Linked DNA regions of Cricetulus griseus. The protein of the gene in region 4 interacts with the protein of the main gene of each other region in a pairwise test. Links are inferred from orthologs where the notes say so. Each region holds a gene or a part of one and is shown on either strand. Other genes may lie near its edges. The genes, in order: E3 ubiquitin-protein ligase TRIM32, Amfr, Mid1, Ube2n, Rnf11 and Lrsam1.

Region 1 (4,944 bases), on a different chromosome or scaffold from region 4:
ATTAAACTTAGCACACCACAAGCTTTCACTGTTTCTAAAGCTCAGAATGTTATAACATCTGGAAAATACAAAAGATTTCCCTAGCCTGCTGTAGCATACTTACGTAATATCTCCCACAATGCATTTGGTAATATACTGACTTAGGATTCTTTTGTACTTCCACAGTAGGGCACGTTATTTTGGATAACAGGAATCTGTGTTCACAAGCCATGGCTATTCATATTTGACTCAATTCGTTTGGGAGCAAAAAAGTAGGGAAGTATAACATCCTATTATCTTTCCTCTCCTGATATCTGACACACAGAAGCCTGGGACTATGGAACTAGCTGTATGACAGATTATAGGAAAAACTACTTACAACTTTGTTCCTGTTTTGTTTATTTGAGACAGGGTGTTGTGGTGTAACCTAGGCTACTGGTAAATTTTTTATCAACTTCACACAAACCTAGACATATCCAGGATGAGGGAACCTTAATTTAGATAAGACCTCCATCAGATTGGCCTTTGGGCAAGTCTGTGGGGGCATTTCCCTGATTTATGATTGATATGGGCAGTGCCACCCCTAGGCAGATAGTCCTAGGAGAAAGGTAGGTGACCACAAACCTAATGAGCAAGCTATAAACAGCATTCCTTTGATCTCTGCTTTTGTTCCTGTCTCCAAGTTCCTGGCCTTCATGAGTTTCTGCCTTGGCTTCCCTCAATGATGGTCTGGGATTAGGATGTGTAAAGCAGATAAACCCTGTCCTCTCCAAATTGTTTTTAGCCATGGTCATTGACAGAGCAGTACACAGCAAACTAGAATAGGGCCCAAGCTGCCTTTACACTGTTACTTCTCCTTGCTCATTCTCCCAAGTGCTAGGTTGTCAAGATTGTGCCACTATGCCCAGTTGATTGTAATCTATTTTAACTTAAAGTTAACGTTAATAAAGTGTGAATCACACACAACTTCAATCAATCATCACAACAACCCTTGACTTTACTTAGAGATAAAGAAATAGAAAGATTAAAACAAGGTTAAGGGTGCTTTCTAACAGTGGTATTGAAACCCAGGTTCTGACAGGTTGTTTTGGCATCTAACCCTCAGTTTCTTTATCTCAGGGCTGTTATGAGGGCTGGACTAAGCCTGTAAAGTGCTTAGCTGTAGTTAGTCAGAAAGTGCTCAAAGATATTACTGTTTTTGTTTATTGTCTTAACGTTGTGCTGGGGGCACACAGCTTGGTGGAATTTTAAATATGGAGACATAATATCTTAGATTCCTTCAGACTCCTAACTAGTAATGCGTGTTCACGTCCTGGAGCAGGCATTACCTGTCCCCAAACTATCTGCAGCAAGTCCTGGCTAGTCAGTGGGCCACAAAACCTCCCGCAAGACAAGGTTCAGTGCAGGGCTTTGCCCGTTTCTACCTCGGCTGCTCGCCTCCAGGATACTACTTCCTAAATGCAGTGTGTTCAGTGACTAGGCAGAGGGATGTGTCACAGGCAAAATTACCTAGCTCCAGGACCAGCTCTTTGAAAGGAGTGTGTTGTCTTCCTGAACTGAGGTACAAAGAGGCGTTCCAGCTAGGTGCCCGGACTTTCTGTAGACTACTACTGGGAGATTAGCATTTACTGACCGGGTAAATTTCGACTCTGAGACAGGCAGAAAACTGGATCACACACCGCGGTGTCCTAGGTTTCCAGAGTCACCCCCTACCTCTTCAGCAGGGCCAAGAGCTCTGGGCCCGCGGGCCTACAAGCCCCAGCATGCCTCGGGGAGGCGGAGCACGGTGATGGACAGGCATTCCTGCGAATTGGCACCCGACGTGGGAAGTGCGCGCTGGCGCATGCGCAAAGGGCGGCGGGCGGGTGGGCTGGCTGCGGTGGACTCGCGTCGGAGCCGCGGGCGGTCAGGTAGGGGGAGGGAAGGAGGGTCTGCGACCAGGGACTGTGGTGGGTCGCGGGGCTCCAAGATTGAATGGCAGGATTTGGGGACTGGATCGGAGTGGCAGGACTGGATGGGGGAGGGACGGGCTTGGGAGAGATTCGGTGGGGTTGAGATGCAGCTGGGGGAGGGGAGCAAAGGGGCTGAGGAGATTTGCAGTTGCAGCATCTCGGGAGGTATGAGGTAATGTGGGGGCTGAGCGGAAAGACGGCGTAAAGCATGTGGGAGATCGGGGGTATCTGGAGTCCCTGGAGGGATCTGGGTGCAGAATATCAGAAATAGAAAGGAATTTGGGAGGCATGGATGAGATAGGTTGGGGGTTGGTGGGCAGAAGCTCAGAGGCTTTGAGGAGATGGTGGAATGGGAGCAAGATCTGAGGTCAAAACAGTCAGGGTCTTGGAAAAAATCTAATTGCTGAAGAAAAAGGCAATTCTGTAGTAGAATCTGGGAGAGATTTGAGGGGTGAGTTCCCAAGGAAATCAGTATCCAGTTAGCAAATCGCAAGCAAAGGCTTGAAGGCAACACGTGAGGCAAGACTAGGGTGGGTGAGGGTGGGGGTGGCACTGTGCAAGTCAGGGAGATGCAGATGAGGGCCCGGATTGAAGGAGGCTAGAAATCTGAGGTACAGTGTTGGAGTTTGGAGCTGGCATACAGGAGTGACAGATGTGGAAATTTGAAAATAGATTGAATAAAGGGTGTAACAGGGACCCAAAAGCAATTGGTGAAATGCAAGGTTGCAACATACAGTCTAGAAGGCTGAATTCTAGATTTGGGATTGAGGGTTGGGAATGGGGTTTGTAGAGGATTGAATGGTGGGGACTGAATGTTGTGACTAGATTGTAGTTTGTGAATTGGTTCTTAGGCTACTAAAGGAGGCTTTGTTTGTTTGTTTTTGGTCTCTGCATAATTGAACCCAGAAGGTGTTTGGGAGACCCAGGAACCTGAAAGTAATGTACAAATAAACTATGTATGAATGAATGGAATTTAGGAGAATGCAGAGGTTTGGGAATAAAGTCACGAGTCTTGAGAGATCCTGAAGGAGAGTTTGACATTCTCTGAAGGGCAGAGTCTTCCTTGTACTAAAAGCCCTTTGATCCTGAGACAGACATAGCATTCTCACTGACACTGACTAGCTTAACCTACTCCACGCAGACCTAACATTATAGGCCTTGTGGAAGAAGAGAGGGAGAGGAAGGGAATGAAGCCAGAAACTACCCAAGGTCTTCTGCTATCTGTCCCTTTCCCTGTGCCCCCAAGCTGTAAGAGATGTTTAAGCCCTCCAAGGTATTGAGTCAAATGATCTTGAACCTGACTTTATCTTATTTTAGAAGACCAGCTATGGCACAAAGAGGTAGTGGTTCTGTAAATGAAGTGTTAGGGCTGGGAGAGAAACAAAACAATGTCTGGGGAGCAAGGGAGAGCCTCACATGTGCTGAATATTTAGCCTAACTATGTCATAATCTAAAGCCTTGGTTCTCAGTCAGGGGTGATTTTCTTCTGCCAGAAAACATTTGACAGTGTCTGGATGGGTGCATTGTCCCATCCAGTTGAGGGGGGTGTGGCGGTTGTTAGTTTCTAGATAACAACCCCAACAGTTACCTAGCCAGAAATGCAAATGGAGGGACCTGGCTTCAGAGTCAGATATTCTGAGTTCGAATCCTGGCTCTTTCTCTTCCTGCTTTAGTCTTTAAAGAGTGACTTGACCTCTCAGTGCACTAGCTTTTTTGGGATCTACATCATAAGATTGTTGTGAGGACCAGTGAAATCAATCAGGGGGCTTACTGTCTAGTGCTCAGTAGGTGCTCAGAGTGTACTCCTGTAAAAACTAATAACAGTCCTGCTAAATATGCTTTATTATGTCCTGTGTTGCACATGAAACTAAGGCTTAGGAGGTCACCTGTCCAAGGCCATATAACTAAAAATGGCAAAAGTAAACTGACGTGTGGATACCCACCACAGTATATATCCTCCTTACTTGCTTCTTTGCTACAGCCTGCTTTGTCTTCCCCTTTCAGCCTTTTCTGATGAAAAGGAAGATTGCCCAGCATTCTAAAGCAGTGTGTTTCTTCTTGATCAGGAGAAACCCTGGGCACCCTGTTCTTGGCTTGCTCTTAGACCAGAACCAGTGGAGAGATAATGGAAGGGGCTTGGAGCTAGGCAAGGTGAGGTGTAAGGAGCTACAAACTGAGATGAAGAGGCCACTGGCTTGATAGAATGCCTCAGCGGGGCCTCAGGCTGAAGGCAGTCATGGACTGAAGGAGAGTTGCTACTACTCTGAATGGCCTCTTTTGTGTGTCTAGTCTCTGGAACAAAAGAGTAGTATTGTCTTTATCAGCTCCAAACCCAGCTACAACATTACTGAAGCCGGCTTTAAAAACAAAATTAGACTGGAGCTGAGGGCAGAAGACTTAACTGGATATTAGCACACATCACTTAGGAAAATACCTGATAGGGATTGAGTTAGCCTTGGAATCAGCTTTTTTACTGCTTGCTTGTTGGTGGTCCAGCATGTGTCAGCCTCTGTCCAAAAGCAGTCAGCTACATTGAGTGCTGACAAGCTAGACGTGATTCCTTATTTTATAGGTCAGAATGTTAAAAAGTTAAGTGACATATCTTCGTAAACTACAGAGCAAATGGTTAATCTGGCATGTAAACTCAGTTCTATTTGACTCCTAACTTCTACAATTCTAGTTTTAGAGATCTTCTGACAGTTAAGGCCCCTATACCTGTGTCCAGGGAGTGTCCGGAAGTCACAAGTTTGTAAGGCTGCTAAAGTGCATTCTCTTGTGTATGCAGATGTGTTTCCTTTGGGAGACTACTTCCATTGTGCCTTTCTGATAGAACAGTACAATTGAAAAACATCATTCCTGCATGCATTTCCCAACCTCTTAGCCAGATTTTACCTTGAGGTAGCAGTAGTCTCATCATCTATACAAGTAGAACATGTTTTGAGTGTGTGTAGTTTTGTATCACAGTGTTCACATGTGGGCATTTGAGGTGCTGCTCTACTGCATACCACAGAGG
Region 2 (4,368 bases), on a different chromosome or scaffold from region 4:
TCACAGAACATGTGGCACTGCAACTGATGGCCTCAATATCCATTGGGTACATGTGAATCCAGGGAAGATAATCAGCGCTCCCCTACAATGCCCATGACTTTAGAGTACAAACGACAGGCACAGTCATGCTTTATGGACAAAGTAACAGGGCTCCAGTTCTGATTCCACCAATGGTACTCCCTGAGAAGGCAACTCATGGAGCCTTCATCATATGCTTTTATATCACACCAATACAACCAATTATTAGCAAAGTCTAACTATTAAACTGGTTATGTGGGCTCCCTGAAGGTAAGCTTAATTCAGTTTTACTACCTCCACCTTACCCTACTTCTTAATGGCACAGAATAACTCCTCAGTTCTACCTACCCACCCACTCACCCTGAACACTTTCAGAATTCAAGTATAGTTAGGCAGGCTAGTACAAGCCTGTAATCCTAACTCCAGGGAGGTTGAGGCAGAACGATCTTAAATTCAAGGCCAGTACACACTTGTATTAAAAATCAAATAAAGGAAGTTAAAATGTAATACTAAGGGGGCAAGGTAACCCTATAGATAAAAGCACTTGATGCTTGACAATCCAAATTTAATCCCCCGGATCCATAAAAGAAAAGAACCAACATACTCACTAACTGCTCTGACCTCCACAGGTCATGGAGTATATGTACACATGTGCTATAAATATGCACATACAGAATAAATGAATGTAATAATGCATGCCATAAAAAGAATTTTAAGGGGAGGCAGAGGGACCTGGGATTGACATGTAAAATAATCTTCTAATTAAAATAAAAAAAGAATTTTAAAAAGTAATACTAAACTTGTCTAGTATTAGGGTAGTTTATAATATAATACTATAAACATAATATATACATTTATAATATTAACAGGGCAGTTTAAAACCATAACAATTTCATTAGGAAAGAAAATCCCACAGACAGAGTGGAGGCTGGAGACAATTTACCATCAAAGTGGAAGAAGTGATTGTGTTGGTTTAAGCGGGGCCTGCCTTCTGCAGCTGCCACAGGGACCAAGTTCTCATCCAAGTTCTCTCCTTGATGGTCTTCCCTGGCACGACTACCATCAGCAATATTAAGAGACATCCTGCATGTTGGACAAGAGGTGTCTTGTTCTAGCCAAGAACGAAGGCAGGAGCTGTCAAAAAGTTGAAAGGAAACAATATGAACATATTCAATTGCTCCATAGCATAATTTGTGAGAATTCATCAGAATTACTGGTTTTTCTAATTTTACTTAGCTTCTACTACTAACCATATCTAAATGCTGAGAAACATTTATATATACCTCTCTAACCCCTCCCTCTAACACACAGACATCTAACACATTCCTGGTAATGCACATCCTCAATCACTTCGAAGAAGGCTTCTCATCTCCCCACCTCCATTCAGTTACTTCAGAATCCATGTGGCTCAATCATCCAATATTTGGCCTCTTCCATCCTCAAGTCCTCTACTCCCGTGATCTTTCTTTTTACTACTTTAGCTACTGACCAACATGGTATAACACGGCCTTGTCTTCACAACAATGATTTTGGATCTACTAATCCACTCCTCTCTGTCCACCAACCTCACTGAAAACCCTTCAATGGCATTCTACCCATCCAGTGGCCCTCTGGACCCTGCCTACTACTCCTACCTCGGCCAGACACACTCCTTCTTCTTCCGTGAGGTCACACACTGGCTTCAACCTAGTTCCATCAACTCCATTTCCCCTCTGCTGCAGCAGCTCCCCCCGTACCTCCCATTTTACATCCTCTCCAACTTGCTCTTTCTTTGCAAATCTCACTTCTGCCCATCCTCAAAAGTCACTCCCTCCAAACCTGAATCCAATTCCTTTGTTACTAATCTTCAGAGGTCTACCTCTATCTCCTGAGTCCTGGGATTAAAGGTGTGTGCCACTACTTCAGAGCCCTGTTTCTTTTCTATAAAGCACATTCTAAATGTGCTGGTTAATTAGACTGCAAGCACCACAAAGACCTCATTTGTTATTTCCATTTTACCCCCACAACCCAACACCTAATTCTAACATATAAAACATTTGTTGAACGGGCTAACTCCAGTTCCAAAGCCTTTCTGATATTAAAAAGGGAAAGACTACAAGTGTTAAGATAAAAAAATTCAATAGTCAAGGGGCCAAATGATACCTCTAAATTCATCAATAGCAAAACTAAGTCCATGTTCATAATTATTTAACTTAAATAGCCTTGATGACATCTCTGAAATATGAGGCCCTCTCTAATCTTGGAGCTTTCTGGAAGGCCTACCCTGTGATAGTTGCAGATGGATTACTCAAATAACCTTGGTCTAGTCTATTTCACCCTGTAGTATTTTGCACACTGCTTCTGAGCATGTGTAAAATGCAAAAGAAAAACAAAAACAGAAAAGCTTCTCTCTCTGGAAAATGAAACTCCCTTTAAAAAATATTATAGACATATTTGTTACTTTAGAACTTAAACGGAGAAAAATTATGAAAGAAAGATATAAATAGAAGTTAAGATGGCAAATGTGGGTAAAAAATGGTCTGAGGGCAAAAGAGGAGACTCAGAAAGCTAGTCACAGGCTCCAAGCAACATCAACAACAAGGCTAGGCTGAGCTAACATCCTTGCTCCGCTGCTGAGTTATGTTCAAAACCATGTAAAAAGCACCCAGAGTCCCCGGACAGAAGGCCACTCCCAAACACCCTGTACAAAGCCCCTACTTGTGAAAAAGATGTCCACAGGGAAGTTTCCTTGCAGCCTGCATGGAGTCCCAGCAGATTGCACAGTCATCATTATTGACAGCTAGCTCCTCTGGAGTTGCAACTGCAAACCTGTAAAACACATAACAGGCCCAGCAGGAACTCTTCAGTTTCACACACACCCAATGTATACCATATTATACACCTAACCACTATAACGGCACAAGTACATAACAAAATCAATTATGTAAAGAAAGTATTTTTTTTCTTCATAGCCCTTAGAAAACCATGAAGGAAACCAGCACAAAAGCCAACCCTGCAGTAACAGTGGCACCTGTGAGTGAAATTCAGAACATTTATGGACATATCAGAGGAATCAGACCCCCAGAGATCCAGACAGTCCCCAAGAAACTAAAAGGGTAACCACTATTCCTGCACTTTCTGGTTTGGGTTAGCCTCAGGCTGGCAAGTGAGTGTCTTTAGTGCGTGAGCCATGTCCATAAACATGCATGTGCAAAGTGTAATCAAGACACACCTCCCCAAAACAAAGATGGTGGAAGACCACAAGTGCTTCCACTCAGTAGTGACAACAGACAGTGACTAAAAATAAGAATATTTTATCTCCTGGAACCCTCCCCACATTCCAGGAAAACGGTTCTATGTCATCTTTAAAAGATAAGATCACTGGAGTACATGCAGTTAATAAATTGCCCCAAACCACCCTGCAACTAAGTGGGATACACACTCAAGCAGTCTGACATGCCTGTACTCTTCTGTCTAGTTATAAGAATACAAAAGCAAGTTCTGGTGGGATATAGGAATTGCTATTAAATGAGCTCAAATGAGAGCTGGGAATGGTAACTGAAGCAGCCAGATTATGAATTTAAAGCTGGCCTAGAGGATGAGCACAGTGGGAGAGAGTAGAGGGTCAGCCTAGGCTACAGTGAGATCTTGTCCCAATACCACACACACAAAGTTAAGAAGAGGAAGCTCAGGAACATCAAGCACACTGTCTTACCTGGCTTCCATGTTTCCTACCACACGCAAATAGTTCTTGTGCCGACGGATTCTCCGCTGCACCTCATGGAACAAGTAACGAAGCTGCATAAAGATGACCAGGCTAGCCATAGATAACCAGATGTTGCCAAACAACTAAACAGAGATGGGGAGAGCAAAATGTAAAATAAAAACAAATGTGCGGGGCTAAAGTCATAGCTCAGTAGGTAGAATGCTGAGTAGAAGTGGGTAGAATCTCCAGCACCATATAAAAAGCAGGCGTGGCCATGCACATTTGTAACCCTAGAGACAAAAGGCTTCTGAAACTCACTGAGCAGTCTAGTTAGTAAGTGAACTCCAGACTCAGGGAAGAAAACCTATTTCAAAAAATATGGTGGAAAACAAAACACCTTGCATCAACTTCCAGTCTCTACATATGCATCCATACTAACATTAGTGTGCAGGTAAGCACATACACACGACATGTACAGAATGTACATGCACTCGAACATGCAAGCACATCTGCTAGTGAATGGAGGTGCATGTACAACAGAAGCTCTTTAAGGTGAAAGGGAACTGGAACAACCTTCCAGAAGTAAATGCATATATTTATTTGATTGGCCTAAACAATACATTTGGCTCTTCAGCCTAGTTATCCGACTGCCAGCAACCTTTCCT
Region 3 (5,024 bases), on a different chromosome or scaffold from region 4:
ACAGAAAAAATGTGTGCAGTACTTTCAAGGTAATATTTTCATAGTATTTTATAGCCCAAACTCATATTCAATAAGTGTACACTTCTGATCTCATTTTATGCTGTTTGATATTCAAATGCAGTCATATCAGTAAGTGATGACTTTGTAGAAAGTATTTTGTCAGTTTGTAACTCTATTTAAACTATCTGAACATACTATTAATAAATATAAATGTGCACATGGGAAAGTGCCATGTTAATGTTCTTCTGTGTCAAAACTGATTTTATTTTAGAAATGCTACTGGAGATACATTCTAGAGGATTTGGAGAATGGGATCAACAACAAACTGATCCTGAGATGTTGGAGGACTAATCACCTTATCTTTCTGAGCCTGTTGTGTTATTGTGAACAGGAAGTAATACACACTTTACACCATTCCCATGGAGATAAGAAAAGTGATTGCCTTTGCCCAAAGTGAAATGCTTTTCAAAGTTTAGTTATTCTTCTTGACTGTGCAATTAGAGAAATTCTTTGGGATAGGTTGAATTGGTGCTGGCCTCAGTCACTGCCAACATCCATTGTCTCTCCTTTCTGAATCAGGGAATCAAAACAGCACTAAGGTATTTTTAATGGCATTGTCACTACTCTAGGAGAAGTCAGCTGGTGGGCACAATAAGAACAAGTGATTCTTTTAAGGATTGCTTATACTTATTACACAGTCTTCATCTCCATTAAAACATAGGAAAATCTTACATCTTATTGCATCTACTTCTTACTAAGTCTTTAGTGGAATGAATTACAATGAAAAAGAATTACTACTTTACTATGATGTTTAAAAGTATAGAGAAAGAATCAAGTATTACGAAATCTACATGTATCATATTTTAAACTGTATTTCAAGCTACAGTTAAGCCTCCCATCTATAGAGTTCACTTAAAGATCTATTTCTTATCTTCTTAAATCAGTGAAATTGCTTAAGACTTTTTTTTACATATAGCCATGCAAATTCACAAATCTTGTATTTCTTTTTTGACACAATCAAATAATATGTTGGTTAGGGAAGATTACTGCTGCAATAGATATAATCAAACTGGTATTTCACCCTTCAAAAATACAATAGCAATCACTGTCTTGTAAAGCAAATAAACATCAAATATTTATATTGTATTATCTACTAAAGTCCTGGGAAAGTTGTTGAGTAAGTTAGTTGCTATGCTCAAATAAGTCAGTTGTGCCTTGTTTCATGGAAGTTTATTCTCTTCTCGTTCTCTTTCTGTCATAAGATTTACCTCTTTGAAAATAATCTCAAAATAATATTCCCTATTTTTAAAATCATGAAAGACAAAATGTGATATCCTATACTTTGATTTTTCCCCTTCAGTGCTTTCTGATAATATAAGGTTGGTCACAGTGCGTGATATAAAATACTAGTTGTTAACTCTCAGTTACACTAAAGGGGCCAATTTTTTGCAGACTGCCAGGATAAAGATGATTTTAATTAAATCCCACAAATCCCTTTGTACTGCAACCAAACCCTCTGCAGGCCAACTGTCTCTGAGTCCTTCTGGCATGTATAGAGTTAATCAGGTTACGGGGGGGGGGGGAGATCCTAGTTAACTTCTTCCACCAGGAATGCAATTCATGTTTACCTATATAAGGAAACCTGTTAGGCTGACCTGAGTTTGGCATATTTTTTTTTTTTTTGCTCTGACTGAGAGGCATGTAAGCACACACCCTGGAGAGGGGGAGCGATTCCCAGCTGGACAGAGCAAGCTTCCTGAACGCCCCAGCCATTCAGCTGATCCGAGGCGAAGAGCAGAGCTGGTACTTGCCCGGAGCAGCCTGCTTGGCGGACCCACAGGTTTGCCTCTTCCAGCTCTCAATTGAGGGACAAACCCCCATCCTGGGAAAAATGGGGAAGCCGGTGAGTTTTACTGCTCTCTCTCTCTCTCTGCTTGCTTCTGCTAAGGGGCACGCCTCGCTGCTCTCACCCAGGAAGCAGAGGGAGAGGCGTTGCTCAGCCTCTAACCCCACAGCTCCTTCCTGAACAAACACAATGCTTTGCCGCGTACCTCCAGCTAACTTTCTCTGCGGGCTTTGCACATCAAAAATCTACCGAGGCAGTAATTCTAGCACCTTAGACATCCCAGAAAGTGTTTTTACTGAGCAAGAGTTTCCAGACCACCGTGATGAGCAAACTTTCTCATCTTTCTTGCGCTCTGAAACAGTGCAGATGAGTTTACGGGGGTGCTTGGAGAGAAACGCTGAATCCCCAAGGAAGTAAGAATAAATCTTAGAGAGTTTCTTAAATCCACAGGCAGGCTGATAGTCTGCGGAAACAGAATTTGTCATTTAAAAAGGCAGTTTGAAGCTATAATTTTTCATTCCCGAGGAGCAAAATACTTGGATCCTGTACGTGTAATAAAGGACACCTTCTGAGACACCGAGGAGAGAAAGAAGCAGAGCTGGCTCCTTTGTTCTAGACAACAACGTATAGAAATTCACTGTTGCATTTTGACAACTAGCATATGCCTGCTTATATATAAGGTGGAAGTGATGAATAAGGCATTATGTCAAGGGCACTGTGGTCAATTGAGTTAAAAATTGGCTGTGCTCTACACATATATAAAACTCTCAGTCTGAATGTAATTAAATATGGGAATGTGAAAGTACTTAGCAAACTTAGAGGGAAATTTAACTTACTACTTGGGAATAGTCAATTATAAAAGGCAACTTGTGAAAGGAAATTTGAAAAACCAAAAACCTGTTTCCACAAAGTTCTGAGGCATAGGTAAAAGTTAAAATGAAAGTTTTCTTATACTTGTCAAAAGTGATTTGAAGGTACAAATTTGTAATTTTTATTTTTGTAAGGCAAGGTGATTTTTTTGAATTGAGTTACTTTGGATAGTTTTGCTAAATGGTGTGACTGCTTATCTTTCAAAGGAACATTGTTCTTTTCTGTCACACACAACACTTAATTCTAAAAATTTGTGCAGTAGCGATTTTGCTACTGACTGCAACAGGTGGCAATGAGGACCTGGTTGCAGATTTGCAATGATGAGGATTAATTTCCTAAATTAATATAAAGGAAAGTAATTGATGCAAAAATGTTTTGAAAGGAGAACACTTTTATTATTAATTGCTAATAATATTCCACTTTTCTACTTGTAGCAAGACTATTGTCTTAATATAGATTGGCAGCTGGCTAGTCATACGGACAAATCTCTGGCCAATTTTACTTAGGGTCCTTGATTCTAAACAGTACAACTATGCTCAGTAACACAGTTTAAATGCTGCTTGCTTACTGCGGTGAGAAAAAAGTGGGAAAGAATCATATATTATAAGGGAGACATTTTATTAAATAAAATTCTAAATAACAGGAGCAGTGAGGGAACAATGCAAATGTTTAAAGCTTGTTATCTGCACACTACTGCTAGGGGGGCAATGGGAGTCTTAATATTGTGCTGCTATCAGTGGGAGTGAGTAGCCCAGGAGACACAAAACACTATTTTAAAATATACCCTTAATAACAGATGGTTTAATACCAGGTTGTCTCACCATGCTGCCGATGAGATGGCCCCAAGCCAAATCAACTGGCATGTCTACCGTTTTTCCTGCGAGTGGATGTGTACATTGTTATTACATACTAATTACATTAACAGCCAAGGGAATATATAACCAGGAAGACATAAGAGTCTCCTGAGCCACAGAGGGTGAGGGTCTTTACAAGGATTTTGAATTTCACACTTAGAAACCTCCTTGCCTGTGACATGAGTTGCTGCAGATGATTGGAAATGTTATCTGTAGAATCTATGCATCCCAGGCTCCTTACAAGCTCATTTTGGGGTAACAATGCTGATTATGGAATGGGACACTTCAGAATTATCAGAGTTCCGGGTAGATTTCATCTTGAAGATTAAATTCATTTAGTGTTTAAATTGTTCTCCAATAAAACACAGTTAGGATGCTACATTTTTACATTAACCCTTTCAAGTCACTGGTAATATGTTCTGGTGTGAAGGGCGCAACATCCTTAAAACTATGAAAAGGTTTTCCTGGGTTTTGAAATTAAAAAAAAAAGACTAAAGAATTCTGAGCAAGGGAAGGGATAGGTCTTCTGATAACTTTGATATGTTCATAAGTTGTGAATTTGTAAAAGCAATGTGGTATGCAACCTACAAAGCACAGTTAGCTACAAACTTACTAATAGTTCCTGGACCAGGCTTCTTTTTGTGGGGGTATCTGGTTATATCAGGACACATTCTTTAAGAAAAAGCTAGCCAGAAATTGAGAACATGGGAAGAGAGGGAAGAAGAGGAAGGATGTAGACGTCATGAGGGAGCAGAAAGATTGAGTCAGAGGAAGAATAGAAGAAAGGGCATGTGATAGGAAGGGTTTTAGTTGGGGGAGGTGGTAGGGGAAAATGGGTGGGAGAAAGGAACTGGGATTATCATGTAAAACAATCTTGTTTCTAATTCAAATAAAAAATGATTAAAAGAAAAAGCTAGCCAGTAGATGGGGTGCTGAGCACTGCTCAAGTGAGTTGCACACATGCCTACTTGTTTATATTTCTTGGCATGTTGTCTATCGAGCTGGACTTGGATGAAGCATATCTTGAAGATGATTTCTGGGCCTCCATTTTCTTAATGTACTGCATAAATTTGATAATTTTCTATACTTGATATAATGTGTAAAACAAAGGAAACTGCCAATGACAATTTTAGGCCCATGATACTGATTAAGCAAATTAAAATGCTACAAATATGTTCTCCATAGGTATCCTAGTTTTTAATTATCTTCTGAGAATCACTAGAGTTTTCAAACCCTGTCTATGTCATTTAATTTTGGATGTACTCTGTGTGTGTGTGATGTTGTTGCTATTGTTGTTTTCCAGGCTTAAAGAACTTTTGAAAAGCTAAATGCAGCTTTTGTTCTTGAGACCTTTTTTGTAGCTAGCATTTGATTATTGCTTCTATTATGATTTCTCAAGTTGGTGTTTGGTTGGGATTCTTCTGTGATCAATGTAGCTTAGTCCAAAGGCAATA
Region 4 (5,119 bases):
GAACGGGAAGGCAGCAGCAGGGAAATCTGAGTTTGAGGCCAACACAAGTTACATGGAATATTGTCTCAAAATTTAAAAAAAGACTATTAGCAATAGTAAATATTATCCTTTGAAAGCCAAAGTCTACCAAGAAATAAAATAATCCAATAGAAAAAAGTATGTCCCTATGGCTTCATCGACCCTTACCCACTTACTGTTCTAGTCACATAGACCCCAGTATTGTATTAACCTGTTTGAAACAAAGTCTCATATATTCTAGACAGGCCTCAACCCCCTAAGCAGCCAGGGATGATAAACTTCTAAACCCTCCTTCCTCTATTACATTAGAATCATAAGTATAAAACACCATGACAGACAAGTGTGGTGGCACACATCTTTAATCCCAGCACTCGGGAGGCAGAGGCAGGTGGGTCTCTGTCAGTTCCAGGCCAGCCTGGTCTACAGACGAGTGCCAGGACAGGCTCCAAAGAGAAACCCTGTCTTGGGGGGAAAAAAAAAAGTAACACTTAAATACAATACCAAAACTGGTTTGTGTGCAGTATTAAGGGTAGAACTCAGAAAGCTTGCAAGCACCATATCTGAGCACTCTCTGGCCCAAAAGTTACTTTTCAAAATAAATTTTAATGTAAATACGTTTTCTGCTTGAGGTGTTGCTTGGTGGTAAAGCATTTGCAGAGCACATACAAAGTCCTAGCTAGTTTCAATTCAATCCCTAACAGTAGAAAAAGCATATTTTTAACTGATTATAGAACCTACATAATATAAAAATGGATCTAAAAATTATTCTAGGGGGTGTCAGTGGCACACACCTTTAATCCCAGCACTGGGGAGGAAGAGGCAGGAGGATCTCTGGGAGTTCCAGGCCAGCCTGGTCTACAGAGTGAGTTCCAGTACAACCTCCAAAGCTACACAGAGAAACCCTGCTTCGAAAACAAACAAAAAAATTATTCTAATCTCTTAACCTGCCCTATTGATGGGGGAAAAAAAAAAAATCCTTTAAAGCTATAAGTACTGAAGTCAATTAATATTACATAAATTAGAGGTGGGTGCAATAAAATACTGTAAAGATTGTATGTCTCAGCACGAGTTTACCACTACCTTGTTTTAAAATAGCAAAATGGCAACACTGAATATATGCTTAAGCATTGTGTACCAAATGAATTAAACAAGCTCCTCAACATCCTACTTTAAACCATTTCTGTAAATTTATAGCCAATATTCCACAGAATTTATTTTCCCAATCAAGACTTTTGTATTACTGCAGAATATTAATCTTCACAATCAAGCAAAAATCAAAAAAAAAAAAAAAAACTACACCAACTGTTAGGTTCAGTGTGAATTTTAGAGAATTATATTCATTATCAATCTGTGGTATGTTTAGTCCCTAACCAAACAATAAAAACCCGGTGGTCTGGTGGGAAGCAATCATTTTTCAAATGGAATCCTGATTAACATGATCACTAGTGTTCATGTCTCTGTATCAGAATTAAACGAGTCAGGACTTTCCAACGCACGACCTAACAATTAAAATCTACTTTGAAAGAATCTGAGATTCATAATATAGCAGTAAAAGTTTATGTCAAGACTACAGTGCTCGTTGACAATTTATTCTTTCTTCCTAAGAATGTCTTATAAATGGTCTTGTTTTCTAATTTAAGCACCTTTCTGTCATACACCCAACCTCACACCCATTTGTGACTGCCCGAGGGACTAGACAGTGCATCACATCCTTCAAAGGGGCCCTCGATATAATTAGTACAAATCTCGCCCAAAACTTCAGAAGAGTGAACAGTGCTGTAAATTCAAGCTCACTAGATTACAGCAAGCAAAACGAAGCTTCAATATGGGCATATCACTGGCATGGTGAGCAGTGTAGGGTTTTTTTTTTTTTAACTAAATATCCTTCATAAAAACAGATGCCTATCGTGTCTGAAGTCTCAACGCTGTTATGTAAAGACTTCAGAAAATCAAGATACGAGTTTTTTCATGGTTCCATACGTACTCACCAAAACACAGTATTCCTAAAGAGCCTCGAGACCGCTTAGTATACGGAAGGCGCACGAAAACAGAGGCGAACTATTACAGATCATCCCCATAACCGAGATGCTTTGGGCTGAACCAGTGCCTCGGAACAGAAAACAGTTGGCCAAAAAAATAAAGAAAGAAAAGAAAAAAGAGTTTGCCAACCGGAGTAAAATCACTTCGCGGAGATAACCGGCAGCAACGCGGGGAAGCGAACACGGCGGGCAGGACACCCACCCGGGCGCCAAGCCCCCGGCGCCGCCGACCGCGGGCAGCCAGGACGAACATGTGCGGTCGGCGGCTGGACTCGCGGCCCGCGGCCCCGCCCGGTTCTCGGGGCCGGTTCATTCATTCTGCACCCGAGACCGCCGACCAGGAGAAGGGGGCTCCGGGGCGAAGCGGCCAGCCCAGGCCACAACCCACGCCCGGAGTCCAGGCCACGCCGCGATTCCCGCCCGCGGGTGAAGAAAGCCTGGCGAGGCCCGCGCCGGTCCCGCGCCAGACGCCAAGCCCGCAGCCCCGCCCTCCACCCGGCACCGGCACCGGCCTGGCCTCCCGTGCCGCGCGCGGCCTCGCAGCCCGAGAGCCCCCGGCGTCCGGCTTTCAGCGGCGGCCGGAAGTCTCCTCGGCGCCCCCTCCTCAGCGCCCGACTTCCCCGCCGCCGAGGCCAGACCCTTCTCCGCGATGCCTCGGGCCCCTCAGCGGCTGCCGAGTGAAGCGTATGGCCGCGCGGCCCGGCGCGTTGGTGGAGGAGAGCCGAGCGGGAGGCCCGAAGCCCGCCTGGGCGGTTACCTTAATGATCCTGCGGGGCAGCCCGGCCATCTTGTCAGATCCCGAGTTCGGCCTCTGCTCTTGTCTCCGGCTCCGCTCGCCTCACGCACGAGTGGAAGTCCCGGACTCCACTTCCGGGGGACGTCGCCGCGCCCGCCGCCGCTGCCTCCGCCGAGGCCCCTCGGGAAATGTAGTCCCTGCTTGGACGCGGGCTTCGGGCGGCCTTCCGTCCGACCTGATGGCCCCCTCCCCCGCACTCCCCGCCCCAACCCCAGCCGGGGGTGGCGGAAGTGACGCTCCGCGGCGGGGCAGGGACTTGGGGGAGGCGGCGCCAGGCAGCGCCGAGCTGCTTCGCCCGCGGCAGAATCTGCGCGAGACTGGGTGTCCGGCGTCCACGAGTAGCGTACGTGCGACCGACCACGCCTGCGCCGGTGGGCGACGTAACAAAGGCCCGGCCCCCGGCGTAGCTCATTCATTCATTCGTTCCATTTGTTCATTCAATGTTCCCGCATTGCGCGGCGGGCTGACGCTGCGCCGCATCTCCGTCGACCTGGTGATCGGGGGGCTTGTTCCAAACGAGAAGCACTCGATGGCAAAGCTTCTAACTGGGAAACTGGTTGTCAAGGCCCTGACAAATAATTCTAAATGTTTTAATTTCACATAAAAAAAAAAGGGGGGGGGCCTCGCCTGGCGGTGTGGCGCACGCCTTTAATCCCAGCACTTAGGAGGCGGAGGCGGGAGGATCTCTGAGTTCGAGGTCAGCCTGGTCTAAAAAGCAAGTTGCAGGACAGGCTCCAAAGTTACACAGAGAAGCCCTGTCTTGATAAGCAAACAATCAACAAAAAAAGGGAGGGGGGCTCTCCGACCTGTCCCCCACCCCAAAAGGATTTGCAACAAGTAGGGGAGTAATCCCTAAAGGAGTAGGAGTACCTTCAGAGTGAAGGCCCTAAAAGTGGAGGGGTCCCAAAAGGGATTGTTGGGTGTTTTCATTTCTTTTCCTGTTGCTGTGATAAAATATCCTGTAGCACGAATAATAGTTGATATTGATAATAAAAACTCAGAGACAGATATTGAGGTTAAGGCTGAAGATCAGAAAAACAAAGTGGCCAGCCACTAGAGAGTTCTCACCTCTACCAAAGCTCAGAAGGAAGGGGAGATCCTTGTCCTCAGACTGCATTGCTCTCCACCAACCTCTAAATCCAAGCTTTCCTGTCTCCTTCTGCCTTATGATTCCTCTCTCTCCACCTCCCTACAGGTTTTCCTAGGGTGGTGGTGAACGCAGATCCATCTGCCTCTGTCTTCTGGGATTAAAGGTGTGTGCCACCAACTGTCTGGCCTGAATGGCTGTGGCTAGCTTTGCACTCTGATCTTCAAGCAAGCTTTATTAGATCATAAAATATCACCACAATACTCCACAAGGCAACTTAAAGGAAAAGGGGTTAATTTCAGTTCAAAGGGGATAATCACCATAGTTAAGGACAGCTGGTCACATCGAATTTTTCATGCTAGTGCTTACCTCTCTGTTTATACAGCCCAGGTGACAACCACAATTAAGATGGGTGTCCATACATCAATTAAGTCCCCCACAGGCATGCCCAGAGGCTTTTTTCCCTAGGTGTTTCTAGATTCTATCAAGTTAACAACACTAACATACATGGTTTGGTGCCTTCAGGGGCCAGATCCACAGAACTGGACTTAAGAATGGTTGTGAGCCTCCAGGTGGGTCCTCTGCCAGAGAACCAAGTGCTCTTTACTGCAGAACCGTTTCTCCAGCTCCTTTCATGAGACTTAAGGGGCTGTTGCTGCTTCCATTTTAACGTGCTGTTTAGATGCTGTTAACGTTTTCTAAGGTTGTAGCAAAAACAATGCAGCTGCTTTCCCAGGCAGGTCTGCCAAAGCACAGGCCTCACCTAACCCTGGCTGCCAGCACAGTGACACAAAGAGTAGAAGGTGAATGAAAGGGAGAATGTTGCAGCTTGGAGCTGAGTTACCATAGGAGACCAGAGCAAAAGCAGACCATGCCTTCCTGAACTGAAAGAGTCCACTGTGGAAAAGACAGTGATTGCAGGCTAATGTGTGAAGCTGTAACAGGTTTTCCCAGGGTGCTACTGGAACAGAGAGAAGCATTAACTAATGGCCTTAATGATTCAAAGAGGTCTTTAACATCTTAAAGGAGCTCCTAAATCAGCGGTGACCACCCCCCACCATAAAATTATTTTCATTACTACTTCATAGCTGCAATTTTGCTATTGTTATGAACCATAATGTAAATATCTATGTTTTCCGATGGTCTTAGTCAACCCTGTGAATCATTTGACCCCCAAAG
Region 5 (4,368 bases), on a different chromosome or scaffold from region 4:
AAAATGGGGCTGAGGTTATGGTTCAGCTGGTTCTTGTTTGCTTAACCTAAGTGAAGGTTGAGTTGTGAGAATGTGTTGGACACTCTTCTTAATCTTACAGATGTAGCACTGACTCATCTCAGCAACTCAAGATATAGAAGGCAGGAGTATCACAATTTCGTCCTTGGCTACTGAACAGGTCTAGGCTACATAGGAACCTGCCTTAAACAAAAAATACCAGCCCGCCTCCTGATTGAAGTGCTCTTTCAAACATGAAGGACACTCTGGCTTATACCATTAAATATAAAGTGATATTTCCCTATCATAGATGACATGCAGGCTTTTGTTTTCTCTTTGCCATTTGAGAACTACATATAAATGTAATCTTGCTTTATTGGGGTTCTCCCTCACCCTTTTATGGTCAAAATTAATGAATCATTTGAGCTAACACATACACTGAGACCAACTATTCAAATCTTGCTTTTTATGGACTTAAATATAAGTGTGGTAAAATTTAGAGAAAACATTCCCAGTAAGACTGCAGCTGGAGAGGAGGAGGTGCCAGCAGCATCGTGTAAGGAGAAAAATCAAGAGTGAGCTTTCATTTCCTACTGGCTGAAAATATACAGCTGTTGGTGACAAGCTGCATTCTTTAGTAGTGACTTTATTTTTCCTTCACCACAAGCCAGACTTGTACTATTTCCAGCCTTGGTATTATTTAGGCATATCCCCATTGCATTGTTTTAGTTTTGGAAATTGTTTCATATTCTCTTACTTCAATAAAACAATTTTTGAGAGAAGGTCTCATAAGCTGTCCTCAAATTTGCTGGGTAGTCAAGGATGCCCTTGAACTTCTGCCTCCACCTGAATTGCTGGGGTTACAGGTATGTTCTACCATGCTGGAATTAAATCCATCTTTATAGTGCAGACATATTTTACATTTTCTCTTTTGTGGGGTGGAGGGGCAGGGTCTCTCTATGTGGCCCTGGCTGTCGTAGAACACACTATGTTGATCAGGCTGGCATCAAATGCATAGATTCTTCTGCCTCTGCCTTCCAAATGCTCAAATTAGGGTCAGGGGAGGTGTTCAAGACAGGGTTTCTCTGTGTAGCTTTGTAGCCTGTCCTGGAACTCACTCTGTAGACCAGACCAGCCTTGAACTCTGCCTCCTGAGTGCGGGGATTAAAGGTGTGCTGCCTGGCATTTGTTTCTTTCTTGGTTTATGTTAAGCATCTATATAGATACTTTACAAGGAGCTGGAAATGTAGTTTGATTTAACATGTACAGAACTTGCCTTTTTTTTTTTTTTTTTTTTTGAGGGTGTGGGTATCTAACCCTATCATTTCCCTTTCCGTGAGTATATTTAATCACCATATTTTCTGTCTTCTGTTCATTTTAAATTGTATTTTGTACAATACTGCAGTTCTCTGGAGGAACTTTTTAATTTAAAATTATCCCTTTAGGGCAAATACTTTTCACCACCACCCTGATGGAGATTCATGGGAGAAACCAAACAAAGCATTAAGGAAAATACTATTTTGAAATATATTTGCTTCTCCAGTTATGACTTCCATATTATCTCAAAATTTGGATTTGCAGATCAAATTTGTTTCCTATCAGTGATGGTTGGATAAGACTCTATAATACAGTGCTTGGGAAGCTAAAAAAAAAAAAAAAAAAGAGGCGGGCATGGGCTTACATATCAAGACCCTGTTTCAAAAAGAGGGCTTGAGATGGCTCAGCAAGTAATAGGTTTTCCAAATGTGAGGACCTGAGTTCAATCCCCTGGGCCCACATAGTGGAAGGAGAGAATGAACTCTCCAAATTTCTCTGACCTCAAACACAAAGTTCAGAAATATAAGTAAAGGAAAAAACCAGAATAAAGGGAAAGGAGGAAGTTGGAAGAATCAGAATAAACTAGCTACCTTTGACTAAATGAGGTCATCATAGAGTGGCCTAGATACTTTGAGATTTGCACTATGTGTCTCTGGCTAACCTAGAACTTGGTATATAAATCAGGCTGGAAACAATCTTGCCTCTACTTCACCTGTGCTACGATTGTGTGTATGTACCACACCACTTGCCAGTATGAATGACATTTTTTTTTTTTAAAAAAAAAAAAAGGTCTTCTAATTTGCTGTGTGGAACCCTGGAGTTCAGAGGTATTAATATGCCAAAAGGGCCAGGTCTGAAATTCTATGAAATGCATTTCTTTTTTTTCCCCCCCCCATTGTACTTCTCTGTCATTAACCCAGAGATAGACAGCTTGGAAAGGTTTTAGAAGAAACAGAAATACAGTTGGTTTTGGACCCAAGTTAAATCTAAAGCAACAAGCCAAGTATTGTCACTTGGAGAAGAAATGCTGATTGCAAATTTTCTGACATTACATGATATAGAGTACTTTTAATATAGAGTACCTTTAATTTTTTATTTTGTTTTGCTTTTTGGCTGTCCTGGTACTGTCACAGATCTCCCAGTCTCTCTCTCAAAAGTGCTGGGATTAAAGGCATGCTCCTCCGAGGCGCCCCCTCTCCCCCACCCAAATCGGGCAGATTTGAGTTGGAATTATATGCCTAGGGCACAGATTAATTACTGTTAGTCCAAAACGCAAAGTAACTATCTTTGTATTCTTAGAGATGGTTACAGCCATCTTGTGGAAATACAAGGGCCTTTCCATTCAGAAATAGCTAGTCTTCAAGTATGTTTTGGAAAACTATTCCTACTGACGCTTTGTACCTTTGAAGGCCAGTTTTTCTATTAATTAGCAATTTTTCACAAACTTTCATTATCTTTTTTGTGCTGTTTCCTTGTATATAGAAAATGATTAATTGGTAAACATTTAAGGTTTATATTTTGAGGTAAGAGGAGGTGACAGAAGTGAGTACAATAATCAGTCATTCCTAAAAATATACTTCTAAAACAAAACCAAAAGACTCAAGTGTTGTGGCTTGAACTCAAGCTTTAATTAGGTATTTAACAATGGGCTTACAGATTCCAGGAAATGTTTGATACAATAAACTGAAATGAAACACTGGGGTTGGTTACATTTTTAGTAGACTTTCTTTGTTCCATCCTATCAAAGACTGTTCTGTACAAAGGAGCAGAGCCTGTCCAGGGTAAAGTTTGCCTTTAATCCCAAAAGAGGCAGGTAAAGTTGGAGGCTGCCCTGGTCTGCATAGAGAGACCTTGACTTAAACTAAAAAGATAAAAGAAACAGGAGCAAATATAGACAGCCCTATAATCCAGTGATTTTTTTCTCCAATTTTTTGAGTCTCACTGTATTGCTCAGGCTGGCCCAATGTAGCCCTGGCTGGCCTTGATTCTTCAATCTCTGTTGGGAAACCACATCTGGCTCTAGTATTTTTTTTTTTAAATGCTGTTCTGCAGTCATAGAGTAGCAGAGTTGTAATCCTGGCTGTTACATAATTTAAGCTTTCTTGTGTACAGTGGTAAGGACAACACTTAAAATTCCTACTTTTATAGTGACCTTCTATAAGGTACAAATGTTAAATAACTTGGTCAATGTTGTATGTAGTTAATAAGCATCATAATGGGACTTGTCTGCATTGAAATATGCTTACTAAGTATAAAACTTTAAAGTAGTGTGTCTAAGATGAAGATGCTCACATTCTCAGTTATAATGTAAAGGGTCACTCGTATTTTTGATCATAGACAAGAGTGTCTATATGACAAAGTCAGTAAGATACAAAGCCTGCTGCATGATTATCCAGTCTCCCACTTATCACAGGGCCTATTTTAACTTCTCTGGCTAAGTAATTTAATACACCCCAGAAAATGGCTTTTAATTTTTTTTCCTGCACTTTTCATATTTAGGAACAAGTTCCCGTTCCCGTCTATCATCCAACACCTAGCCAGACTCGGCTAGCAACTCAGCTGACTGAAGAGGAACAAATTAGAATAGCTCAAAGAATAGGCCTTATACAGCATCTGCCTAAAGGAGTTTATGACCCTGGAAGAGATGGATCAGAAAAAAAGATCCGAGAGTAAGTAATAATTTTATGTGTTATAGAGATTTGTGCGTGTAGTGTTTTGATGATACTGGAGATTGAACACTAAGCTGTATTTCCAACCATAAACTTTAGCTTTTTGAATTTGGCTTTTTGTTTATTTAGGAAGCTTATGAAATTCTATACTGGAAAACCCAAGTTAAGTGTAGCAACTGGAAAACCCAATGTAGCAATAAAGAAGTCTTACATTCTGACGAATATAGTTGCTGCATGCCCATTTAGATGACAGTTAAAACCATTTACCTATATAAATGTGACATTTCTGGTTTATTTTATGAGAGCAATTTAGCAGTTGTCTAAGGAGTTAAACTTTTGTTTAAAAAAATGAGTTAAACCTTTTAAACTCTGAGCTAATTAAATG
Region 6 (4,368 bases), on a different chromosome or scaffold from region 4:
CTCAAAGGCCACACAGCTGGTCATAGATAGACATCATATCCTCTGGAACATCCCTCATGGCCATCCACCTTTGTAAAGTTCAGTGTCTGGATACCTATCACAGTGGTGACAGCCTGGCTGAGCATCCCAGAATTCCCTAGTTTTTTGGTGAATCACCTCTGTCAAGCTATACTATAGAACAGAGGTGTCTGGGGAGGTAACAGTTGAGCACAGCCAGCACATCTGTGTCTGATGCCCCTCACACGGTGGCGAAACAGTGTGTGCTCAGTCAGCTCCATTCTCTGTGACTCTCAGGAGATTGTTCTCCAATAACGGGAGTTTCTCCTGACTGCTGCCCAGTTCAGTGGCCACATACGTCTCTTGAGCATTTGGAATGTGGTTGGTGCCACAAAGGCACTAAATAGTGTTATTGAACCTTTATTAATCCACAGGTAAATAGTCTCTTGTGCTTTGCAGTTGCCAGATATATCAGCATAGCTCAGAGCATGTTCCTGGTCCTGAAGCTATCTACCCTAAGATACTAAGAGCCCTAGGGACCAAGGATGTGGCTCAGTGGTGGAGCACTTGTTTAGCATTCTTGAGCCCCAGCTCTGCAGCAGAAGTTTAGGTGGAACTCATTTCCCAGCTGTTCCTTTAAAAACTCTTGGGAGCATCTTGACCCCTGGTCAGACCTTTTATCAGAGTAACAGAACAGGCATTGTCAACATTATATGCCAGCTCCGTTCAAATGCTGTCTCCTGTCACCTGCCACACATCCCGTCAAATCAGGGATACTGCACTCCTGTGACACTGAGGAAGTTACAGCCTGGCCCAGCTAAATACCTGGTTAGGATGCGCAGCTGACTGACTGTGCTGTGCTGGGGTTTAAAACCAGGCTGAGTGTCCCTCAAGAGACACACTCCCCCTGCAGGTAACAGAAATGCTGTCATCTGGGTGGCCCCCAAGAACTGGTAGCTACCAAGCTGACATGTCCACATAGCCATGGTGACCTGAACTAATTAAAACTGAAATGAAGACTGCTTGTGACAGTGTGCACCTGTAATCTTGACACTTGGAAGGAGGCAGGAGGATCACAGGTTCCAGTGCAACCTGGACCACATAACAAGATCTTAAGGAAAAACAAATGGGGCTGGGGTGATGACTCAGTGGGGAAAGTGCTTGTAAAGGACCTGAGCTCAGTCCCTAGAGCCAGGCACCTGCAATCCCAACCCTGCAGGAATAGAGACAGCAGGTCCCTGGGCCTTGCTAGCCAGCTAACCTAGCCAGCTTACCAAGTTCCAGGCCAGTGAGAGATTATCTCGAAAAGCAAAGTGAATGGTTCCTAATGAAACCTGGCTCTACACACATACACACACACACACACACACACACACACACACACATAAATGTACACCTAAGCATGCACACACAATTCAAGAAATGTAAATGGCCACATGTGACTTTAGCCACCATATTGGGCATTGCTCCCTGTGTAGGCAGGAGAGACACTCAGCACCAATAATGAAACCAAGTGACTTCGAATTGTGCTGGGGGTGAAGTGGTATACACAGTAAAGGGAGTTCCCTTGTCCACAGACGCTGAGCCTTGATGCCTTGTCCATGGTCTACCCTCCGCCAGAGGTGTGTGGTGCTGGCACTGCGGCCGTGCAGCAGTTCCTTTGCAAAGGTAAAGGTGGGACACCCCTGCTCTTCCCCCAATTCTCTTGGCCATCCCCTGCCACCAGGCTGGAGACAGCAGAGACCAGCAGGTACAGACTGCCTGGTCAGAGGTCAGGGTCCAGTGAGGGCAACAGGTACAATGAAGGATTGATCACAGGGACTTAAACACCCAGGCTGAGCTTAGGAAAGGTTAGAGTCAGGCATCTGGCTTAGGTTAGGGCTGGGGAGCCCATCCGAGAAAGCAACATGACTGACACCTGACAGGGAGCTAGGGCCAGGACAGGGGACAGTGTGTTTCTATCAGAGGAAGCAAGTGTTAAGAGACCTGAGGTACTGTGGAGAGGGCCAGTATGGCTGGAGTGCTGAAGGCCAAGGAAGAAAAGTGCAGGGGTCGGGGTCCAGCAGGAGGTCTGGTTTCACAAAGAGCACATAGAAGTAACTGAAGTAAGGAGGACAACCAGCTAGGCAGGCCCCTGGGGACACCCTTGTGACCTGGGCACCAGAAGGAAGCATCTTTGGGCTGTTGTCACCTGTCAACATGGTTCCTGTCACCTGTGTTCTCAGAGCAAGCCTCAGTCATCTGAATTATTCATGACTCATTGCATAGTGAGCTTTAGGGTGAGCTTTCCAATGATCCCAGATCCGCTGGCCTGGAGCTGCAGGGAAAAATGATCTCCTGATGATCCTGATCAAGAGAGGCCGGGGGAGAGCTCAGCTGCTGTGTGCTGGCTGTTAAACATGAAGCCACAGCCCCGCATAATGTGTGTAATAGCACAGACCCGTAATCCTAGTGCTCCAGAGTAGAAGCAGGCATATAGTGTGGCAGGAGGCCAGCCGTCTCCAAATCAGTAAATTCCAAATATAGCTGGGTGTGGTACTGAGTGCTTGGACACAGGGAGGTCAGAGTCAGTCCTGGACCAGCCTGGGTTACGTAATGAGGTCAAGGTTAGCCTGAGCTATGTAGCAAGACCCTGTCTCTCTCTCCCTCTCCCTCTCCCTCTCCCTCTCCCTCCCCATCTTTGTATGTTGTTGGTGTCTGTCCGAACTGAACATTCAGGTCTACAACTCAGTTAGTTCCCTGACTAGGTGTTTGCCCAACAGAAGGAGAAGCTATGTTGTCCACAGATGCTCACAAAAGCACTGTTCCCCTGCAGCATCCAGCAGCTGGAGAATGAATGAACTGTTTCATACCCGCAGCACTGGAAGAGCAAACTGCATACAGCGAGCTAGGAGAGTCTCTGCCAGAGAGTAGAGGGAGAGAGGCCAGGCACAGAGGAAGTGTGCTTCTGCCTGGCAGTCACCACTTTCCGGGCCAGCACTGCCCCTGGCTGTAAGGATGTGGTCACCTTTAAATGTTCTTCAGGCTGTGGTAGAGCACTTGCTAGTATAAACAAGGCTCTGGCTTCAGTTCCAGGCTGCTAAAATAAAGGAAAAAAAATTTTTTTCTGGGTAGAGTAGTATACACCTCTAATTTTAATACCTGGGTTAACAGAAGTAGGAAGATTGTGAATTTGAGGCCAGCCTGCGCTACCTACTGAGATTCTCAATACCAAAGGAATGCTTTAAGATTCTCTAATGTTTATGTAAACAGCAAGCATAAAAATAAAGCATAAATAAATTTGCATACACTGACTACAGAAGTCAAATATATGGCATCATCTATTTCCCTCCCGAGGGGATTGGACCTCACGCACGCTCGGCAGGGGCGCCACCACTCCGTGCAGCCCAGCCCTTTTTCTGGTTTTCATTTGGAGACGGGCCTTGCTCAGACTCAGTTACTCTATACCCCTGGAAGACTTAGAACTTGCAGTCACCCCACTTTCTGAGTAGTTGGGATTACAAGGCCATGTCACCAGGCCTGACGTTGAGCAGTAATTATTATACAGAGGTGAGGCCCAGCCTTGGAAGATGGGAATGGACTGAGCCAGCAAGGCAGCTGCAGTGGGGGGGAGAGGAGAGTGAAGGGGGCAGGAGCGAGCAGCTGGGGTGTTCCTGACCAGCCTGCGCCCCTTCCCCATCCATAGAGTCAGGACTGGAGTACTACCCGCCTTCTCAGTACCTGCTGCCAGTCCTGGAGCAAGATGGAGCTGAGAACTCCCAGGACAGCCCCGATGGACCCATAAACAGATTGTCCAGGGAAGAGGCTGAATGGCAGGTAAGATGAACAGCCAGCGTGGGCGTGTCTGTGCAGGTACTGAGCCGCTGGCCTAAGAAGTTGTTCAGAACTGTAACTAAAGATTCCTCCATTCGGAACCACAGACCCAACTACCACAGCTGTCACCACATCAGGTGTCCAGGTCTCCGCCGTCCCTTGAACAAATCACGTCCCTTTCCCCACCAGCAGCAGCACCTTGGGAACTGTCCCCACTCACTCTTCGATTTTCATTTTATCTTACTTGTTTTTTATTTTTTAATATGTAGCTAAGGATGGCCTTTGCACTTTTAAAAATTATTTACTATTGCTGCATGCCTGCGTGCATGTGTGAGAAGCATACAGTATTTCTCATGCTGGCGCCCCCCAGGTCCCTGTGTCAGTTTTCACCCTTCCATCTCCTCATCCCAGAGAAGCAGGCTGGGTGGATCGGGGTATATAGTGGGAACCATGGCTACGTCCCTCTCCTCACCTCTGGCTTTCTCCCCCCCAGAACCGGTTCTCCAGCTATGAGAAGCGAAAGGTAAGGGCTTCCCTGCCACTTTTGTTCTGGAGTAT

What was found.
Region 1: the proteins of Ube2n (region 4) and E3 ubiquitin-protein ligase TRIM32 interact in binary tests that used the Homo sapiens proteins (3 or more experiments, as listed by UniProt). The link is inferred for Cricetulus griseus from reciprocal best matches to the Homo sapiens genes UBE2N and TRIM32.
Region 2: the proteins of Ube2n (region 4) and Amfr interact in a two-hybrid assay, tested with the Homo sapiens proteins (2 studies listed by BioGRID and IntAct). The link is inferred for Cricetulus griseus from reciprocal best matches to the Homo sapiens genes UBE2N and AMFR.
Region 3: the proteins of Ube2n (region 4) and Mid1 interact in a two-hybrid assay, tested with the Homo sapiens proteins (2 studies listed by BioGRID and IntAct). The link is inferred for Cricetulus griseus from reciprocal best matches to the Homo sapiens genes UBE2N and MID1.
Region 5: the proteins of Ube2n (region 4) and Rnf11 interact in binary tests that used the Homo sapiens proteins (3 or more experiments, as listed by UniProt). The link is inferred for Cricetulus griseus from reciprocal best matches to the Homo sapiens genes UBE2N and RNF11.
Region 6: the proteins of Ube2n (region 4) and Lrsam1 interact in binary tests that used the Homo sapiens proteins (3 or more experiments, as listed by UniProt). The link is inferred for Cricetulus griseus from reciprocal best matches to the Homo sapiens genes UBE2N and LRSAM1.

The regions. Positions count from the first base shown.
Region 1 is NC_048595.1:80,217,568-80,222,511, reverse strand, and holds the start of E3 ubiquitin-protein ligase TRIM32, read left to right. Parts: upstream 1-1,825; 5' UTR 1,826-1,889; intron 1,890-4,944. UniProt on the Homo sapiens protein: E3 ubiquitin ligase that plays a role in various biological processes including neural stem cell differentiation, innate immunity, inflammatory resonse and autophagy.
Region 2 is NC_048596.1:170,182,580-170,186,947, forward strand, and holds part of Amfr (E3 ubiquitin-protein ligase AMFR), read right to left. Parts: intron 3,847-4,368; coding exon 3,713-3,846; intron 2,827-3,712; coding exon 2,716-2,826; intron 1,153-2,715; coding exon 962-1,152; intron 1-961. UniProt on the Homo sapiens protein: E3 ubiquitin-protein ligase that mediates the polyubiquitination of lysine and cysteine residues on target proteins, such as CD3D, CYP3A4, CFTR, INSIG1, SOAT2/ACAT2 and APOB for proteasomal degradation.
Region 3 is NC_048604.1:104,293,291-104,298,314, forward strand, and holds the start of Mid1 (E3 ubiquitin-protein ligase Midline-1), read left to right. Parts: upstream 1-1,773; 5' UTR 1,774-1,903; intron 1,904-5,024. UniProt on the Homo sapiens protein: Has E3 ubiquitin ligase activity towards IGBP1, promoting its monoubiquitination, which results in deprotection of the catalytic subunit of protein phosphatase PP2A, and its subsequent degradation by polyubiquitination.
Region 4 is NW_023276806.1:161,500,091-161,505,209, reverse strand, and holds the start of Ube2n (ubiquitin-conjugating enzyme E2 N), read right to left. Parts: upstream 3,003-5,119; 5' UTR 2,845-3,002; coding exon 2,815-2,844; intron 1-2,814. UniProt on the Homo sapiens protein: The UBE2V1-UBE2N and UBE2V2-UBE2N heterodimers catalyze the synthesis of non-canonical 'Lys-63'-linked polyubiquitin chains. This type of polyubiquitination does not lead to protein degradation by the proteasome.
Region 5 is NC_048595.1:40,364,629-40,368,996, forward strand, and holds part of Rnf11 (RING finger protein 11), read left to right. Parts: intron 1-3,813; coding exon 3,814-3,983; intron 3,984-4,368. UniProt on the Homo sapiens protein: Essential component of a ubiquitin-editing protein complex, comprising also TNFAIP3, ITCH and TAX1BP1, that ensures the transient nature of inflammatory signaling pathways. Promotes the association of TNFAIP3 to RIPK1 after TNF stimulation.
Region 6 is NC_048599.1:144,662,210-144,666,577, reverse strand, and holds part of Lrsam1 (E3 ubiquitin-protein ligase LRSAM1), read left to right. Parts: intron 1-1,574; coding exon 1,575-1,665; intron 1,666-3,682; coding exon 3,683-3,813; intron 3,814-4,303; coding exon 4,304-4,333; intron 4,334-4,368.